Cricetulus griseus: one gene and its partners. The protein of the gene in region 3 purifies or fractionates together with the protein of the main gene of each other region. This does not show direct contact. Links are inferred from orthologs where the notes say so. Each region holds a gene or a part of one and is shown on either strand. Other genes may lie near its edges. The genes, in order: Usp46, Usp12 and dystrophia myotonica WD repeat-containing protein.

Region 1 (4,239 bases), on a different chromosome or scaffold from region 3:
CTCTTTTGAGCCACTCAGTACCAAATAAGTAAATTAAAAACAAAAAAAGCAACACCTGCTAGCCCTACAACTCCTCAAACAAGCTGGGGATCAAAAGGAGAAAGCAGGAAGGATCAAGTAAGAGACCTGGTGAGAAACACAGGAACAAGTGAGACCCAGAAGAGACCTACCTGGAAACAATTCATCGTTAAGTGAGGTCTCTACACGGAGGTAGAGTGAGCTTGTATCTCACGGTGGGGTCAGAGACAGCAGTCTCCACATCACCACTCTTCTCCACTGGGAAATGAGAATGGGAGGGGCAGAACCGACCTGAGCAGCTTTTTATAAGGGGCGGGGTTTCCAGTTCCCACCCCAGCTTTCCTAGAGTGTCATTCAGACCGGCTTTGCATAAGTGACTCTATGGACTGTTTCTATTCAGGTAGGAGAAGACATGATTTCCATGGCCCCTGAAATGACTGGAAGGTGGCATCACAATGAGAAAGAAAGTACTGAGCAGAGCGGCTGGAACTAACTCACTGAGAACTCATGGCCCTGAGCCCCAGGAACTCATCACTCAACACAACCATTATCAGCCCATTTCTACAAGTCAACAGCAAGGCAAAGAGCACTGTGATCAGAGAAACAAAGCTGGTGTGTGCTGCAAGCAGGACTTGAGAGGTGGGTGAAGAACACCTGTCATCCAGCGTTTAAGGCAGTCTCAAGCTGGAGGTCTACCTGGGCTATTGAGACTGTCTCAAAAATCCAAGCCACAGATAAATACATCAGCAGGATTGAACCTAGAGCCTTACCTTAGAACGCAAATATCTCTCCACTTGCTTAAACAGGAAGGTATTAGGTTTACTTCACTATGGGAAGGGGTGGGCGCGGGTAATGGGCCTTAACTTGGTACTTTTAGGTCACCAGAGGAAGCATTGATTCTATTGACACAATACTGGCCCATTTCTTTCATGCCCTCCCAGAAGCTTGTCTCTCTGGCTGAGTTTCACTGAAAACAGGTTGTGACATTATGTCCAGGTGTGCCAAGAAGTCCTAGCTACAGCAAGGGCAAGAACAAGCCAGAGGCAGACTTCCTCTTGGGACATGCTAGCTCTCGAGTTTCCACCCTGCTTCAATACTGAGAAGTGTCACTGAATACAAACTGGACAAGAACAGCATCACAAGCAGGCACTGAGTCTCAGGAGCCTGTAGGCCTGAGGCCACCCCCACAGGTGGGAAAAACAGCATTCAAGCCACTGTGGTTTCACAGTTTGCCCCAGGAGCTGGGTTACAGCAAAGACACTGAGAAGAAATACATTGTCTTCTCAGGGCATCCATTGACATTAATGCCACTGGACAGGAACCTGTGTCTTCAAGCAGAAAGAGGAAATGTCAAGGCTGCAGGAGCCACTGCCATCATCTAAGGAGACCTGTACCACCAAGCAGGCAGCCATCACTCTGGGAGCTCCTGCATTTGCCTTGCTGGCATGGCCTTGGCTGCCGGTGCTGAAAGCTGGAGCCAGCCTCAGCAGGTCTCAACTCCACCTGAGCTAACACATGGCTCCTTAATGCTCTGTGCCATGTGTTGATCTTGCAACAGAATGTGGGACAGAAGATTTAAAAGGCTGTGTGAGGGGGGAAGGGCAGCCAGATCACCTTACCTAAAGCCTTCTTAATCAGGCCTCCTCAGATTCCCTTTAGGGGCTAGTATTACTATCTATCTGGTGGGGTGAGGGGGTCCCCAAAATGGCAAAAAACACCAGTGTTCCAGCTTGAAGGGGCTCAGAGGGGAGAGGATCCAGAGAGTGTAGGCAGAGCCTGAAGCCCCACACAGTGGGCAATGCCTTACCCCCAAACTGACCTCCCTAAGGCTCTCACAAGTGGAGGTAACAGGGGACCCAAAGGCTGGAAACAGGTCTCAGGGAAACTAAACAGGACAGCAAAGTAATGGGGAAAATCCACACTGAAGTGACCGGTGGGTTATGCCCCACCTCCCACTCCCCACTCCTCATGCCCCCTCAGTCCATCACAACGGTGACATGCCGGGCAGTGCCCAAGCTAAGTGGAGAGGAGGCGGGGCAGGATGACCCCTGCAGACTTCCTCACACCCACAGCTGCCTCGCTCCCCCAGGGCCTGCAAATGTTACTGCCGTACAATCTCTCCTGCAGGTGGGGTAAACTGAGGCCTCCAGAACAGATCCGCCTCCGTGCTTTCTGATACCCGGCTTTACTTCACCTCTCTAGCCAGATTCTGCACTTGAATTTTTTTCCACTGCTTTTATGTCTATCCAATTTCTCCCGGTAAGAGCACTGCTGTTGCAAAGTGAATCTTAAATACAATCGAGGCTGAACTCAGAGGACAGTCAGGGAGTCCGACGAGGGTTTATTTACTGCACCAGGAGGATCTGCGTCCTCCCTCTCCGGGCTCGTACCCTCACGGTCCTTCCCCGGGACATCGGTGTGCCACCTCGAGCCCTTCGCCCCCACCCACCGCCCACCGCCCACACCGCAGCTAGAGGGCGGGGGCATGGGGCCGCCCTGGGGATCCCCGGGATCTACTAGGTCCCCAACTGGGACAGAGGCTAGGGACTGCGGTCAGCCGGCCCTGCCCCGGGGCCGGGAACTTCTGGCCGCACAGCCCCTACGGCCACCACGGCGCGCGTGCAGCTCCAGCCCGGGGTTCCCTTTCTTTGCCTGACTCGCCGCGGGCGCGACCCCCGGAGGCTCGGCGGCCACTCACCATATTACAGATGGAGGCGATGTTTCGGACAGTCATTAGTCTAAAGGTTGCAGCGATCGCGCACCGCCATCTTTACCAGGGGAAAACGGGACTGTCCATGGTGGCGCGCAGCGAGGCCGGGCGGCGGCGAGGCGGCCTGGGGCCGGCTTGCAGTGGGGTTGGCGAGAGAGGCCGGGCGCGGCGAGGGCGGGCGGCGGCGCGGGCGGGGAGTGGCGGAGCGACGCAGCCGGGGCCGCGGCCGGCGGGAGGAGGAGGAGCCCGGAGTCGAGAGGCGCTGAGCCGGGAATCCTGGGCTCACGCTGCCAGCCTGCTCGTCCCCCCGGACTCGCTCGCCCAACCCCGCTGGAAGCCAGCCGTTCTTGCTCCGCTGCCCCAGGGTCCTGCTCCGCTCAGGCTGCACCGAGAGACGGTCCCCAGATAAACCCAGCACCACGGCCTTCCCGCCTGACCCAGGACCGCACCGGGCGCTGGACGCTGGCCGATCGCCGGCCGGGGACCTGCACCGCGGGAACACGAGAGCTCTCGGTTCCCGATTTCCCTCTGTCTGTTTCCCTCTGTTCCTGCTGGTCTCCAACAAGCCTTGAGCTTTAGGTGTTGGTTAGCGGAGGATATAAGGAGTAGGGGTGACTGTAGTCCAACTTTAAAGTTTCTCGCCTGGGTTTCAGCCAGATGGCATCCGCCGGAACCCGAAAAGTAAAAACGACCAGGACATGGGCGTGGCCAGAAAGCCCTAGCCAGCAGTAACCCCGAAGCCTGGGAAAAGGTCTGCCAGAAAGGAAAGAATTCCGGATCTAGGCAGATAACTGTCGGAGATTTGTGACAGAGGCAGAGGTTCTAGGCGGTACTAGAGGCTGTCCAGGAAAGATGAGAACAAAACTTCCGTATCCCCCACCCGCGGAGCTCCTGATCTCAGCTTTGTGAAATGGACGCTGTTTGAGTTTTTACATGTCCTGCAGAAGCAGAGACCTCAGGTTGCAAATGTGTACCCCGCTTGAAGAATAAGTTCATGAGGATTGAAAGAATCCATCTCAAACGTGGGGAACAATTGTGTAGACAAGGTTACAATTCTATGCTTCCCACAGGGAAGCAGTGCTTGTGAAACGTGATAAATTGCTGGGCCAGTGTGTTTTGTGACAAATTAAATTAGGAGAGAAATTAATATAATTGAAGACAGCTTTATCTAGCCAAAAGTAACTAACTGGGGGAAAATAGGTTTATACACATAACATGTGAGAGTTGTCCATTGGTAATTCTAGGACCTGGGGTGGGAATAGAAGACAAACACTACTGACTGAAGATTTGGGGGATCAAGTGGATACTGCATTTTTCAGTGTGTAGAAGGACTAATATTCCTCCTCACACTTAGTCATCCTACCTAAAATTTATTTTTAATTTTTTTACTGCTGCCAGTTACGATATACTTTAGGAGTCCTTCAACTTCTTCCATGACTATGCGTAATAGGCACAATTAGCTCCATAAGGTTTAGAGATCAGGTGTCCTACCCAGTTTCTGCTACCCAAAT
Region 2 (4,244 bases), on a different chromosome or scaffold from region 3:
GTTACAGGTGTATGTCATGATCATTTATGTTCTGAGAAAAGGACTCAAGTGGTTCAGGCTGGCCTTGAATTCGCTACATAGCTGAGGATGACCTTACCATACCAGGGTTTATGAAGTGCTGAGATGAAACCCAGGAACGCCTACACCCCACACAGCACGTTACCAATTAAGCCATATGTTCAGCCTCCACCCTGACCTTTAAAACATAGATGTTGTAGGCCCATGCTCGAAAGCCAAGCAAGCAGACACTGCATAGACTTGACTGGTGTCAACCAGAGTCCAAGCCCCTGGCATGGTATGGTATCTATATTAAAGAGGGAGACTCCTCCTGTATGCAGGTAGGCACCTGGAGAGAGGCAGCTGCCAGGGGAGCTTAGCAGTACTCGGTGGTGTCCCCTCCCCCCCGACGCTTACAATGGAATTGCTATGGAAACAGCATTCATGTACCAGAAATCCATTTCTCGACTAAATTTTGTTCGAATTCTTTGTTTCTTTAATGCTTTGTATAAAGTGAGGCTTACCAGGTTTTAGAGCTTTGTCTGAATTCAGGCCCTAAGTTCCACAGACAAGTGGGGGTGCTGTGGGAGGAAGAAAAGGTTCCTACCCTCAGATCGCCAATCAAAACAAACCACAGGCTTTCTAATGTAGCGATTGATCTTATGAATTTTCTGCGGGGTCCGTCCACTAGCTAACACTGCGCATGTGCTCCTCACACTCTGGCTGCAGCTTCCTTCTTCGGACATCAACACCCCTCCTTCAAAAATTCCGAGTTGATATCCCACTGTCAAGCAGGATTGGCTCCCCTTCCTCTCCTCCCCCACTACTGTTAATTCAAAGAGCTAATAGGCATACTTGTTTGTCTTTTTACCTAATTAGTCTCTAAGAAGGGAGTTTGGCTCAGAAAAACACCAAGTGCTTGGGACGCTTTGGAGGGGTTGCTCTCCAACTCATCCACAGTTTCCCAGGCATAGCCTCAGTTTTCTGTCTCAACAGTGGCGCTAGCTGTCCTTTAGAGCTGTGGGTCAGTCGCTCCGAAGGCTGCTTACGGTCACTGACGCCGCAGGGCAAAAAGCATCGCGCTTTTCCCCAAGACACGCTCTCGTAGTTAGGGTGGCGACTGCGTGCCCGCGCTAGGACCCAGAAGCAAGTAGGACGCGGCCCCCGTCTCGCCCCGCCCCCGACACGCACTGGGTGGAGCCGTCTCCCTCAAAGCGCGCTCCCTCGAGGGAGGGCGGGGCATCATGGGCGTGGCACAGCTGCGGTGGGCGTGACGGCGGCAGAGTGGGCGGGGCGGCACGACGCTGCCAGGTCGGCCGGGCGGAAGGGCCTTGCGCGGAGCTCGCTCCCCAGCGCGCTGGGCGGGGTGTGCGGCGAGCGGCTTCCCGGGCAGGCGCGGGCCCCGAGGCGGCGGCTGCGCCGTGCGCCGGGGCGGAGCCGGGGGCGGGCGGGCCGGCGGGCGGGCGGGGGCTGGGCCGGAGGAAGCCTGAGTGCCCGCGGCGACGACGGCAGCGGCGGCCCAGCAGGCTAGAAGCGTGGGTCCACGGCGGCTCCGGGTGCGGCTGCGGGCTGCGGAGCGAGCGGGCGGCCCGGCTCCCCGCGTCCCCCGCCCGCCGCGACTGTCTGGAAGATGGCGCCGGGCGGATGGAAATCCTAATGACAGTCTCCAAATTCGCCTCCATCTGTACCATGGTAGGTGCGGCGGCAGCGCGGCCCGGGCGGCGGGTCCCCGCCTTCGAGGCGCCGCCCGCGGCCCTGCTCTAGAGCGAGCGGACAGGGCGCGGGGCCGAGTGGCCGTGGGGAAGGCGTGCTGGACGCAGCAGGCGGGGCTGGGACCGACCCCGGGGCTCCGAGCTGCGGACCGGAGCTGGGGACCGGGAACTCGGGGTCTGGGGACCGGGGGTTCGGGTACTGTGCCTGGGGGCTAGGGCCTGGGGACTCAGGGGCGGGGGTAGGGGTAAGGGCTGTGTACTGGGTCTGGGGACTTAGGGACTAGGGGTGGGGACTGGGATTGGGGGCTGGAGCCGGAGACTCTAAACGGGGGACTGGGGACTAGGACCAAGGGCTGCAGGCTGGGAGTAGGGCTGGGGGCCGAGTACTGGGAACTGGTACCGGGAAGCCAGGGGACTGGGCCAGGGGAAGGGACGCGGCGGCCGCTGCGTTTCCGTGGGTCTGAGCGCGGGGTAGGGCGGGGGTCTGCGGCAGGAAGGAAGGGTCTCGATCCTGCCGGAGGACGGAAGTCCTGGCAGAGTTACTCCTCGGGCTAGGTGGAGTCCCGGGGCCCGGGCTCGGGAAGGGGGCGTGTGACGGTGGAAAGTTTTAAGAGTGCTGTTGAAATGTTCTCTATTTTCTACTCGCCGAGGAGAAACGAACTCTTGCGGTTTCCAACCTGTGTCCGTCCAGATGGCAGCCTTGTCGCTGAGAGTCCGCGTTAATCTTGAAAAGCTGCACTAGCTTTCCTGTCATTTGTTTTACTTTAATAGAGCAGACGCCGCAGTGTGGGGTTGAAGTACACAGACCCCGAATAGAGCGAAACGTGGGTGGGTTCCTAAACGTGTTTTTTTGTGCATTGCCAGAAGCACCACCACAGTTTCCCACATGATGTGACAAATTCATTAGCTCCTTTCTGAACTTGTACGTAGAGGTTGCGATTTATGAATCACCGAAAAAGTTATTATTTGCAGTGTGGGTCTGGAGTTACATTACCAAAGATTTGCACCATCCTGTTCCGTTTTTATGTCCTGGATTTCATCTAGGAGATCCCCAGACTTTCCACCTGAAAGTGATCTGTGCTTTTGCTTTAAGGAGTGGAGAATCAGGTAGGAAAAGTGGATTTTCTACTGCATTTTGTGGAACAGTATTTAAAAAAGGGTGGAATCCGTGGGTTTACAGTCCACAGCATCAAAAAAGTCACAGCAAGAAGGAATCACTGGAGAATCGATTTCCCCACGTGAATAATTGTTCTTTCATGGTCTTCAGAAAGGGGCTATATTAACAGTTTCTGGGGTTGGTTGTACTCATTACTTTAGACCTGCCACATAGGATTGAATCTTTTACAGTGATAATTTTACCAGATTGCTGAGCTCCACACCTTTTGGGGTCATAGTTCATTGTCAAAGTCTAGGGCTTCAGGAGTGGTGTGATTCCCATGGACTGACTGTTCCTTCACTCAGTTACATCAAGTTTACATTTAGCACCTGCTGACTAGCACTGGCAATACAGAAATGATTCTGGCCGTCTCTAGCAGGACGTTTTCGACCATGCTTCTACATCCAGGACTCTGGATGCAGAAGGATCACAAGCTCTAAGCAGATGGAGTTACACATAGGGAGACCTTGTCTTGAAAAAACACGCCCACAACAAAAGGCAACCCCTACTTTCATGGTGTTTACTTTCTACTTGAGGAAGACAATTCTCATTTACATAGTAATACAGTGTACCTGCCAGGATTCTGTAGCAAATAAGGCTTCTTGTCAAGGATGTCCCAAACTCACCCTCGTTAGACATGTGGTATGTGTATGCGTTTTGGCAAATAAATAGACATCCATGCCTGGCCAAAGAAATTGTTCCAAAGGTGCTATTAAGATCAGGTGCATCTTGTTCATACTTGAATAAATTCTACTCCTCTCCCTGAGTAGGTACTGAACAGGTCAGAGTGTAAGGAGGGCTGCTGTCCATCTTCTGGGAATTATGAAAGTGAAAATCAGGAATGACAAAGGCCCTGTAGGTTCTGTTTTGCTTGGAATGTGAACTGTTCCATCATCCATGGACTATGCAGCTGTCTTTTAAGGAGGTCATCTGACCTGAACAACACCACTCTGCCCACTTGCCTCATACAATTGCACAGCATTTTTGTGATCTCAGAAGTGCTGTGCAGTATGTCATGTGTCGTCTCCCCCATTTTTATTAGGTTATGAGGTTTTTTTTTTTTCTCTGCTGGTGTTTTGAAACAGGGTCTTCTGTAGGTCGCATAGAGTTTGAATTTGGTATGTAGTGGTGGCTTGCCCTGAATGCCTGATTGTCCTGCCTCCACCTCCCAGCCTCTTGGGATTTCAGGTGTACATCATCGTACCAGGTTTAGACTGTGAGGGCTTTGAAGTTAAAGACTTAACTGCCATTTAACCATTTGTACACATTTACTAGTGGAAACAGTCCTCCATTTACTCACAGGAGGTGAGTTTGGAGTAGAGGTAAGGCTGGGCGTGGAACAGTGGAGAGAAGGAAGCCTGGACTTAGAACTGGATGCC
Region 3 (4,183 bases):
TTGAACGTCAAATCGACAAAGCCGACCATGGTCAGGAAAACAAAACCAGAAAACGGGGACCGACTCAGCCAGGCAGGGAGGGCTTCCTTCCCTTCCCTGTGTCAGCCGCAGGGGAGGGACCACAGGAAGGTTTAGGCTGCCAGGGGGACATGGGAGGGCAGAGGAGGCGCCCGCTAAATGAAAGGAGGAGCTGGGTGTGGCTGGCGTCTCAGGTCTGAAATCCAAGCACTTCCAGAGGCTGAGGCGAAAGGATTGGGCCCAAGTTTGAGGACAGCCCGGGCCACAAGCGTGAGACAAAAACCAGCGTCGGTGAGATGGCCCAGTGGGTAGGGGCACTTACTGCCAGGTCCCATCCCTGGGGCCCCCAAGGTGGGAGGGGACTCGACTCCCTCTGACCGCGCCATTGTGCGGGTCCACGCAAAAAAAAAGCAAAAATAAATAAATGCAGTAATTTGTTTAATTAAAAAAAATGCAAAAATAGGGCTGGAGAGATGGCTCAGAGGTTAAGAACACCGGCTGCTCTTCCAGAGGACCTGAGTTCAATTCCCAGCAACCACACGGTGGCTCACAACCGTCTGTGATGAGATCCGGTCCCTCCTCAGGCGTTCAGGGACAGACACATGCAGACAATGTTGTATACATAATAAATCTTTTAAAAAAAATGCAAAAATAAATGCAGTCATTTGTTTAATTAAAAATGCAAAAATAGCCTGGCGTTGGTGGCGCACGCCTTTAATCCCAGCACTGGGGAGGCAGAGGCAGGCGGATCTCTGTGAGTTCGAGGCCAGCCTGGTCTCCAGAGCGAGTGCCAGGATAGGCTCCAAAGCTACACAGAGAAACCCTGTCTCAAAAAAAACCAAAAAAGAAAAAAAAGCAAAAATAAATGCAGTCATTTGTTTAATTACAAAAATAAATGCAGTAATTTTTTAATTAAAATAAAAAAGAATCGCCTGGAGTCGTCTGTAAAACCCGAGGAGGATGCTCAACAGAGCCTGAGGGTTCTCCGTTGCTAGGCAAACGGCTCCCTGGGCGCGGTCGTCAGGGCCTAGGGCGTGGCTCTGGGCCACGCCCCCACGGGCCGGCGTCGGTCGCTGGCTGGCTCGCTGGCTCCCGTTGGCCACGCCCACACCGCCCGCGACCCCGCCCCCCAGCCCCTCAGAACCGTTACCTCAGCAACCGCCCGGGCTCCTCCCGCCTCCGGCTCGCGGGGTGCCAATCGCAGAGGCGTCACCCCGGACGGACGACGACCCTCCCACCCCTTCCGGCGCCAGGTCCGCAGCTTCCGGCTGGGTGGCGGGTGTGTGGGGTGGGGGGGGTGTCGAGCGGGCGAGCGGGCGAGCGGGCGAGCCCCCCCCTCCCCTCGCGGGCGGCCAAGATGGCGGCGGGCGGCGCTGAGGGCGTCGCGGGCCCGGGCGGCGCCATGGGCGAGTGCGCCGAGATCAAGTCTCAGTTCCGCACCCGCGAGGGCTTCTACAAGCTGCTCCCGGGAGACGCGGCGCGCAGGCCGGGCCCGGCCTCGGCCCAGACCCCGGCGCCGCCTCAGCCCCCTCAGCCGCAGCCGCAGCAGCAGCAGCCGCAGCCCCCTCAGCCGCCGCCCGGGCCCGCCTCGTCCCCGCCGCCCGCCGGCCCCGGCCCGGGTCCCGGCCCCGGTCCCGGCCCGGGGCCCGCGCTGCCCGCCGTCCGCCTCAGCCTGGTGCGCCTGGGCGAGCCCGACGGCGACGGCGAGCCGCCCTCCACGCCCTCGGGGCTCGGCTCCGGCCGAGACCGCGTCTGCTTCAACCTGGGCCGCGAGCTGTACTTCTACCCCGGCTGCTGCCGCCGCGGGAGCCAGCGGGTGAGCCGCTCGCCCGCCCGCCTCAGTCCCCGGTGGCCCCCCCGGGGTGTCCCCCGGCGAGCCCCACCGCCTCAGGCTGCCTGAGGAACGTTGCCGTGCGGGGTTCTTTGGGGCGGGACCCGGGCCCGGATGCCCCGGGGGGACAGGCACGGTGCGGGCGGTGCGGTGTTTTTGGGGACACAGTCGTCGTCCCCCCCCCCGGGAGGTGGGGAACGCGGGGGAAGGGGGGCCGCCCGCTTGGCGCGCGGGAGGAGGGAGTCTGAGAACCTAACCAGACCCAGGCGGGAGTGGGGAGCGTTTGCTAAGGGGTGGAGATGGCAGTCGCACAGGTTAAAAAAAAAAAAAAAGGCTGCAGGTGTGGCGTAGGGGTGGGCGGACAAAGCGACGGTATTGAATGGGATCCTAAGGAGTGCGGTGTCCTGTCAGGAGTGCGGTGTCCTGTCAGGAGTGCGGTGTCCTGTCAGGAGTGCGAGGGGACACGGAGGGGGTTGGGTGGGACGTGAGTCTCTGGCAGGGGCCATCATCCCCAGGTGAGGCAGACACCGCTAAAGCAATTGAGTCCTAGGAGCGGGAGGGAGGGAGAGAGACAGTGACAGAGAGACAGAGGGAGAGAGGGAGAGAGACAGACAGACAGACAGACAGACAGACAGACAGTGACAGAGAGACAGAGGGAGAGAGAGAGACAGTGACAGAGAGAGAGACAGAGTGAGTGAGAGAGAGAGAGAGAGGGGGGGGGAGAGACAGAGTGAGTGAGTGAGAGAGAGAGACACACACAGAGAGGGAGAGAGAGAGACAGGGAGAGGGACAGAGACAGAGAGACAGAGAGAGACAAAGACAGAGAGACAGAGGGAGAGAGACAGTGACAGAGAGAGAGACAGAGTGAGTGAGTGAGAGAGAGAGACACAGAGAGACAGAGGGACAGAGACAGAGAGACAGAGGGAGAGAGACAGACAGAGAGGGACAGAGATGGAGAGAGAGACAGAGAGGGAGAGACAGAGACTGAGGGACAGAGAGAGACAGAGGGAGAGAGAGAGACACACACAGAGAGAGACAAAGAGATAGAGGGGGGACAGAGAGAGGGAGAGACAGAGGCTGAGGGACAGAGAGAGACGGAGAGGGAGACAGAGAGGGACAGAGGGACAGAGACAGAGAGGGAGAGAGAGAGACAGAGGGAGAGAGAGGGGGGAGAGAGACAGGGGGAGAGAGACAGAGGGGGGAGGGGCTCCTGAGAGTCCAGGGGTGACCGTGTACCTAAAATATGAGGGAGCGTGATGCCTGATGGGTGTCTCAGCTATGACAGATGTCCTGAAGTTTAGGGACTCCAGATGAAAGGCAATGACGCCTTGGAGATGGCTCTGTGGGTGAAGTGTGTGCTTTGAAAGCGTGCGGACCTGAGTCTGGACCCCTGGGGCCCATGTAACCGCGTGAGCTCTATGTATGAGTCTGCAGCCGCAGTTCAGGCGGCAGGGCCAGGGGCCCTGGGGCTCGCTGGCAGCGGTCTAACTGCACTGCTGAGCTGCTGGTTCACTAAGAGCCCCTATGTCAAATGCTAGATGGAAAGCCACCCAGAAAGATGCTGAATGTTGACCTCTGACCCCCATTCCCATGCATAGTGCACACACATGCACAAAGGCATATGCCACATGTACAAAAAAAAATGGAAGAAATCCTAGGATGTTGGGATTTTCGAATCCTTGGGTCTGGGTCTGGGGTGGGGGGCTCCTGAAATACCGTGCTGAGTCCCACTGGAGTTGTCTTTGGATGTGGCTGGGAAGACTGGAGGAGAGTCAGCTCCAGGCCTTTGGGGACACTGTGGTCTTCACTGGGTGGCCTGCGTGTGAGCATGTGGTGCTGTCCTGGGTTTGAGTCCCCTCTCAGTCTGTGGTGGCCTGCCCCTCCCCAGCCTCCTGGCCACTTCCCTCGAGGTTAGCCCTGCTTCCTCTGGGTGGTTTCCCCGACCTCAGCTTCCGCTCCGTCCTCTCCCTGCTCTCACCCGCTAACTAACTCTCTTCCCACGCACGGCTCAAGTCCATTGACCTCAACAAGCCCATCGACAAGCGCATCTACAAGGGGACCCAGCCCACCTGCCACGACTTCAACCAGTTCACGGCCGCCACAGAGACCATTTCCTTGCTGGTGGGCTTCTCTGCCGGCCAGGTGCAGTACCTGGACCTCATCAAGAAGGACACCAGCAAGCTTTTCAATGAAGAGGTGACTGAGGGCAAGAGCCACCCCTTCTTGTTTACCTACCCACCCCCACACTAAGCTGCCTGGGAACAGAGTAGGCTTGAGAGGGGCCGGGTGAGGGAGAGGGGCACCAGTGACAGACAGCTGCTGATGCTGCCACCG

Evidence for each region.
Region 1: the proteins of dystrophia myotonica WD repeat-containing protein (region 3) and Usp46 purify together in Homo sapiens (affinity purification with mass spectrometry; 5 studies listed by BioGRID and IntAct, counting the BioPlex papers as one, with this or other methods). This does not show direct contact. The link is inferred for Cricetulus griseus from reciprocal best matches to the Homo sapiens genes DMWD and USP46.
Region 2: the proteins of dystrophia myotonica WD repeat-containing protein (region 3) and Usp12 purify together in Homo sapiens (affinity purification with mass spectrometry; 3 studies listed by BioGRID and IntAct, with this or other methods). This does not show direct contact. The link is inferred for Cricetulus griseus from reciprocal best matches to the Homo sapiens genes DMWD and USP12.

Annotation. Positions count from the first base shown.
Region 1 is NW_023276807.1:140,561,316-140,565,554, forward strand, and holds the start of Usp46 (ubiquitin carboxyl-terminal hydrolase 46), read right to left. Parts: upstream 2,897-4,239; 5' UTR 2,753-2,896; coding exon 2,717-2,752; intron 1-2,716. UniProt on the Homo sapiens protein: Deubiquitinating enzyme that plays a role in behavior, possibly by regulating GABA action. May act by mediating the deubiquitination of GAD1/GAD67.
Region 2 is NC_048597.1:82,630,908-82,635,151, reverse strand, and holds the start of Usp12 (ubiquitin carboxyl-terminal hydrolase 12), read left to right. Parts: upstream 1-1,395; 5' UTR 1,396-1,641; coding exon 1,642-1,689; intron 1,690-4,244. UniProt on the Homo sapiens protein: Deubiquitinating enzyme that plays various roles in the regulation of the immune response and inflammation.
Region 3 is NC_048602.1:28,287,975-28,292,157, reverse strand, and holds the start of dystrophia myotonica WD repeat-containing protein, read left to right. Parts: upstream 1-1,338; 5' UTR 1,339-1,375; coding exon 1,376-1,834; intron 1,835-3,862; coding exon 3,863-4,045; intron 4,046-4,183. UniProt on the Homo sapiens protein: Regulator of the deubiquitinating USP12/DMWD/WDR48 complex. Functions as a cofactor that promotes USP12 enzymatic activity.